2 linked regions of the Oryctolagus cuniculus genome follow. The protein of the gene in region 1 interacts with the protein of each later gene in a pairwise test. Links are inferred from orthologs where the notes say so. Each region holds a gene or a part of one and is shown in the gene's direction. Other genes may lie near its edges. The genes, in order: TACC1 and CKAP5.

The links.
Region 2: the proteins of TACC1 (region 1) and CKAP5 interact in binary tests that used the Homo sapiens proteins (3 or more experiments, as listed by UniProt). The link is inferred for Oryctolagus cuniculus from reciprocal best matches to the Homo sapiens genes TACC1 and CKAP5.

The regions. Positions count from the first base shown.
Region 1 is NC_091433.1:88,577,916-88,581,735, forward strand, and holds part of TACC1 (transforming acidic coiled-coil-containing protein 1), read left to right. Parts: intron 1-317; coding exon 318-478; intron 479-1,187; coding exon 1,188-1,294; intron 1,295-3,820. UniProt on the Homo sapiens protein: Involved in transcription regulation induced by nuclear receptors, including in T3 thyroid hormone and all-trans retinoic acid pathways. Might promote the nuclear localization of the receptors.
Region 2 is NC_091432.1:19,195,464-19,198,364, forward strand, and holds part of CKAP5 (cytoskeleton-associated protein 5), read left to right. Parts: coding exon 1-83; intron 84-945; coding exon 946-1,029; intron 1,030-1,123; coding exon 1,124-1,283; intron 1,284-2,901. UniProt on the Homo sapiens protein: Binds to the plus end of microtubules and regulates microtubule dynamics and microtubule organization. Acts as a processive microtubule polymerase. Promotes cytoplasmic microtubule nucleation and elongation. Plays a major role in organizing spindle poles.

The DNA.
Region 1 (3,820 bases):
TTTTGTGGGATACAGCATGTGCTGATTAAATCATGGAGGTTAGCATTTCATCTCCTGTGATGCCCGCAGAGATCTCTGGTGCAGTGAGGTGTCTCAGTACTTAAAACACCGTGTATGCTGAGCAAGTCAGGGTCAGTAGCATTTCCCTCATTCCCATCACTGGGTTTGGAGCTAGTGAGTTACTCGTCAGATACATACAAGGTTGTAGTGAACTCCAGTCCCCCGCTGTGCTGTGGACACTAGAACTTACTGCCTGACTCTGTTTGGTACCTGTTGGACAACTTCCATGCCGTCACTTTTGACTTGTGATTCTCCAGAAGATGAACAGAGGACGAGCATGACCTCCCAGAAGAGCTTCCAGCAGCTGACCATGGAGAAGGAGCAGGCCCTGGCCGACCTTAACTCTGTGGAGAGGTCCCTTTCTGATCTCTTCAGGCGATATGAGAACCTGAAAGGCGTTTTGGAAGGCTTCAAGAAGGTAGTGTGTCCCTGTCCTCCCAGCCCTAGCTGGTGGTGTACTCTTATGGTAAGGGATCACCAAACATAGGCCAGAAGTGTGGGTGACCTTTGAAATAGGGGGACAGGGCCTACTGGCCTTGCAGCTTCTGACTCACTGGGTGGCATGTCCTGGTCATTCCTCTACCGGGTCCCGAGTGGAAGCCTCAGACGTGGTCGGAGTGTAACACAGAGCACAGCACAGGAGCTCTCCACCCAACGTTCTTTTTGGCAATTCACTTTTTCAGTGTTAGCAAAAGTAGAAGGGATTCCATATGGGAAAGATTCAACCTGCAGGTTCTAGAAGAAATTAAGTGTAACATTTCAAACAGAGATGTAAATATGCATATTATTTTACAGCACTGAAAAATCTTCCCTTTCATTTAAAAATAAAAGTGAGACCAGCCAATTTGTCTGGGAATGAAATTGCCATTAAGTTTTAAATAACTACCTTCCTAAGTAGGCATGTCGGTGTAATTGAACCTTACTTTTGTGATGTTGAAATTATTACTTGAAGGAATTATGTAGAATTCTTCAGTGAGAATTGTGTGTGCCTGTTACAAATTGCCATGGGATATAAATTAAGGGCATCTGAATTAATTGTTTTCCCATTTAAAACAATGAAACTGACACATGGTATATTGCTAGTAGAAGAACAAGACAGCTCATTTTAAATGTTCGCCTTGGAACAGAATGAAGAAGCCTTGAAGAAGTGCGCTCAGGATTACTTAGCCAGAGTTAAGCAAGAGGAGCAGCGCTACCAGGCCTTGAAGATGCATGCGGAAGAGAAGCTAGACAAGTAAGAGCCTATAAATTCGACATTTCCCATGGTGCTGTGGGAAGACGTTCAGAGACACAGAAGCAAAATTCACTGTTTTGCAACTTCAGGTTGAATTTGTGTTTTATTTCTTTTTTTTTTTTTTTTTTTAACCATCTCCACATGATTACAACATGAAAAACATAAAAAGGCACATGGTGTCTCCCTCTCAGCTCTGACTCCCACTGAGGTTTCAGCTCCTTCCTCACCCCAGGTACTGTCAGTTCTGTTTTTTCCTCCAGGGTGTACTTTTCTCCCCTTTATACAGACAGTTGTATACCTTGCTTTTGCTCAGTAGTCTGATTTTTTTTTTTTTTTAAGATTTATTTATTTGAAAGGCCAGAGAGAGGTCTTCCATCCACTGGTTCACTCCCCAAATGGCCAGAGCCGGGCCGATCCAAAGCCAGGAGCTTCTTCTGGGTCTCCCATATGGGTACAGGGATCCAAGCACTTGGATCATCTTCTATTGCTTTCCCAGGCCATAGCAGAGAGCTGGGTGGGAAGTGGAGCAGCCAGGACTCGAACTGTCGCCCATATGGGATTCTGGCACTGCAGGCAGCAGCTTTACCCACTAAGCCACAGCACCAATTCCAAGCAGTCTGGTTTTGAAAATCTTTATGGGACCGGCATTGTGGCATAGCTGGTAAGGCTACCACCTTCAGTGCCAGCATCCCATATGGGTGCCGGTTCGAGTCTCAGCTGTTCCACTTCCGATCCAGCTCTCTGCTATGGCCTGGGAAAGCAGTAGAAGATGGCCCAAATGCTTAAGCCCCCGCACCCACTTGGGAGACCTGGAAGAAGCTCCTGGCTCCGGATAGGTGCAGTTCCAGCCGTTGTGGCCAAATGGGGAGTGAACCAGCGGATGGAAGACCTCTCTCTGCCTCTCCTTTGTGTGTGACTCTGACTTTCAAATAAATAAATAAATCTTTTAAAAAAATTTATAAAAGAAATCTTTATGCATCAATCCATGAAGAGCTTCCTTGTTTATTTTTAAACAGCCTCATGGTATTCTGTTGTTGGAATGTATCCTTATTTAACCAATCCCTTCAGTTGGAAATTCAGGTTAGTTAAAATCTTTTGCTGGGGCCAGTGTTGTGGTGGGAAGGGTTAAGCTGCTCTGCTTCCAATCCAAGTTCCTGCTAATGTACATAGAAAAGCAGCAGATAGCTCAAGTGCTTGGGCTCTGCCACCCATGTGAGAGACCTGGGTAGAGTTCCAGACTCCTGACTTGAGCCTGGCCCAGCCCAGCCCTGGCCATTGTGGCCGTTTGGAGAGTGAACCAGCAGATGGAAAAAAATGTCACTCTGCCTTTCAAATACGTGAAATACATCTTTAAAATCTTTTCCTTCTGTAACAACGCTGCAATAAGTAACCTTGTAGATTATCATTTTGCACGCATGCGAGTTATCCTTATGACATACAGGAGAGAAAAGCAACTATTGGGCCAAAGAATATATGAATTTGTAAATAGGAAAATAGACATAAATGTATTTCAGCAATCAGAATTCATGTATTTGCTTTACTATACATTATTATTGTACATTTTTGGGTTGATTTATGCATTTTAAGTATTAGGGACACCAGCCCCTTGTGATATGAATTATGAATAATTTTTCCAGTTTCTAATTTACCTTTTTTACTCTTTCTATGGTACTTTTGGTATATAGGAATTTCCTCTTTTTTTATTTAAGATTTATTTATTTGAAAGGCAGATTTAGGTATCTTCCATGCACTGGTTCACACCCCAAATGGCTGCAATGGCCACGACTAGGCCAGGAGCTTCATCTGGGTCTCTCATGTGAGTGCAGGGTCCTAGCACTTGGGTCATCCTCTGCTGCTTTCCTAGGCATGTTAGCAAGGAGCTGAATAAGAAGTGGAGCAGCTGGGATTTGCACTGGTACCCACATGGGATGTTAGCATTGCAGGCAGTGGCTTAACCCATTATGCCACGATGCTGGCCCTGTAGAAATTTATTTCTGTGGAGTAAAGTTTATCAGGCATTTCTTCTACAGCTTATGTATTTCCTGTCATAGGAACAGAGATCTTCACCATTCTGGATGGGAAATAATCTCTCTCCCATATTTCCCTTCTAATAGTGCTTTAATGGCTTAGGGTTTTTTTGTTTTTTGTTGTTTTTTTTTTTTTTTTTTTAATTTTTTGACAGGCAGAGTGGACAGTAAAAGAGAGAGACAGAGAGAAAGGTCTTCCTTTGCTGTTGGTTCACCCTCCAATGGCCGCCACGGCCGGCGCGCTGCGGCTGGCATACCGCACTGATCTGATGGCAGGAGCCAGGTGCTTCTCCTGGTCTCCCATGGGGTGCAGGGCCCAAGCACTTGGGCCATCCTCCACTGCACTCCCTGGCCACAGCAGAGAGCTGGCCTGGAAGAGGGGCAACAGGAACAGAATCCGGCGCCTCGACCAGGACTAGAACCCGGTGTGCCGGCGCTGCAAGGCGGAGGATTAGCCTAGTGAGCCGCGGCACCGGCTTGTTTTGCTTTCTTTTAAAGA
Region 2 (2,901 bases), on another chromosome or scaffold:
ACCTTTGCCGGATGATGAAGCACAGTATGGACCAGACTGGGAGCAAGTCTGATAAGGAAACAGAAAAGGGAGCATCTCGAATAGTGAGTGGCCTCACTTGAAAGATGGAGGGAATGAGGCTGTGCTGGAAGTGATCTTGCCTAAGTGCGGGTCACCTGGAGGCTTCTGAGGGCCTGTGGGGAGGGTCCAGGAAGTGGTTAATGCTGTGGTGCTGTAACCGTTTCCATCTTGAAGTTTTGCAATGTGAGTTACATCTGTGCGCATTTTGACCTCCAAGAAAGATCTCTGTGTCTGTGCCTAAGGCATTGGTGAGCAGATAAATCCACTGTGAACTTTGCTTAATTCAGGAGAATGGGCCAATTCCTCCTTCATCAAGTTGAGGTGAAAACCTGAGGCGGAGCCGGCGCCGTGGCTCAATAGGCTAATCCTCCACCTTGCGGCGCCGGCACACCGGGTTCTAGTCCCGGTTGGGGCGCCGGATTCTGTCCCAGTTGCCCCTCTTCCAGGCCAGCTCTCTGCTATGGCCAGGGAGTGCAGTGGAGGATGGCCCAGGTGCTTGGGCCCTGCACCCCATGGGAGACCAGGAAAAGCACCTGGCTCCTGGCTCCTGCCAGGATCAGCGCGGTGCGCCGGCTGCAGCGGCGGCCATTGGAGGGTGAACCAGCGGCAAAGGAAGACCTTTCTCTCTCTGTCTCTCTCTCACTGTCCACTCTGCCTGTCAAAAAAAAAAAAAAAAAAAAAGAAAACCTGAGGCGGAAGCATTCAGTAACCAGAGCGCCAGTGTTGTACTTTTTGCTTTAGGTGCTAGAGTGTTGATGCTTCTGCTGTCCACAGAGACACACCGGGAAGGTCCAGACCTTGAGAGATTTTTTCCTGTTCCCATCTAGCCATTGGTTCCTATTAACAACTCTAACCAGTTCTTCCTTGTGTCTTCTAATTTTTCAGGATGAAAAATCATCGAAGGCCAAAGTGAATGATTTCTTAGCTGAGATTTTTAAGAAGATTGGCTCTAAAGAGAATACTAAAGAGGTGAGAATAAAAAGGCTAACCTCAGTGAGGGTCTCCTTTATGAAAAGGGGGCACTGGCATCTACCCACACCTTTTCCTTTTTCTTGTTCACCAGGGCCTAGCAGAGTTATATGAATATAAGAAGAAATACTCAGACGCCGACATCGAACCATTTCTGAAAAACTCCTCACAGTTCTTCCAGAGCTATGTTGAAAGAGGCCTCAGGGTGATTGAGATGGAAAGGGAGGGCAAAGGCCGAATTCCCACTTCAACAGGTATGGGTTCCCTTAGCAGCTCCAGGAATGGGCTCATCAGCTTCATTCCTGAACTCAGCATGTTGAAAACTAGGCTCCTGATATCCCCTAAGCCTGTGCATTTGTGTTCTTTTCCTGTTTGGTGGAAGGCAGTTTGTCCTTCTAGTTGCTCAGATCCAAAGCTTTTGAGTCTTCTTTTCCTCTCCTTCAGGAAATCCTTTAGGCTATACCTGCAGATTGTATGCAGATCCACATCACCACCACCTCCACTACCCTGTACCCTGTCCTCACTTTTCCCTGCTACCTCCTTGCTCCAGGGCATCGTTATCTCTTACCTGGATGACAGCACCTCTCCTCTCTGATCTCTCTGCCTTCGCCCTTACCTCTATTTCTTCTCCATGCCTAGTATCAGAATGACACTTCACCATTCCCCAGAGACACTCACTTGTGCCCAGCAAAAGCCCTTACAAAGGTCCTGCATTGCATGGCCCTGACACTCTGGGAGCTCTCTCCTAATGCCCTCCCCAGCTGGTCTTCCATCCAAGCCAGCCACCAGCCCCCTTGCTGTTTCTGGAACACACAGGCTCCTTGGGTTCCAGTCCTGGCCGTTTCTTACATGTAGAATACTCTCCTAAAACACTCATGTTAGTCAGCCCCCTTTCCTTTTCAGATCCTTGTTCCTTTACCATTCCAATGAGATCTTATTTAAAACCTCTGATATACTCCTCACCCTGCTGCAATATGTGCCACCTCTGACATACCATCCAATGTGGCACTGGCCAGGTTAATTATTCAGTGTGTCTCTCCCTGCCTGTGTATGTGTATGTGTATGTGTATGTGGGTGTGTGTCTGCACGTGCACAAAGCAAAAGGATTTTTGTCTGGTTTGTTGCCTGGAACATAACAGGTATTCAGTATTTGTAAATGACATGAATGAATGCTTACTCCAAGTTGAAGTTGAAATGTTGCTGTCCTCACAGTGAACTAGCTACTGTCTGAGATTTACTACCCACAGGATCTGGAATCCTAAGAAAGATTTAGGAGGTTTCAGTCATAGAAGAAAGCTGTTGTGAGCCTGAAGCCAAGAAGATACACCCAGCTTCCTCAGTTCCCTCGTCAGGACAGAATAGAGCTCTCAGCACTGTCCCACGTGGGGTTATGTCCAAGTTGAGGGACGCACACCTACTCTTGCCTTGAAGTGTGTGTCTGCCTATGGAACCGTGTTCCTTTGTGAGTCCCAGACTCCAGTCATGGTCTCTCACTGCATGTATCTTGCTAGGCTGAAGCTTCAGCTGTTTCTCTTAACCAGTTAGACTTTTACATTTCACACCTCAGATGACCCCTCCCCAAGACCTTGAGAGTCTGTCTTGAAGTGTGGTGAGCAGAATGTCCAGTAACATTCCACGATTGCACAGACCATAGTTTGGGTGATTGGGGAAAGGCCTCCTTTTCACGTCTGCCGAGTCCTTTCTAGTGATGTCCAACATTTGATATTTTTGGACAAACAGTGCATTTGCGACACACGTGTGCTTGGTTTCCTGCCCTGGCGTATTCACTCTCTGTTGGCTGTGACGTTCTTCGTGTTTCACTGCTGCACAGTATTCTCATCGTTACGATAAAGATGTAAACGTCACTTTCCT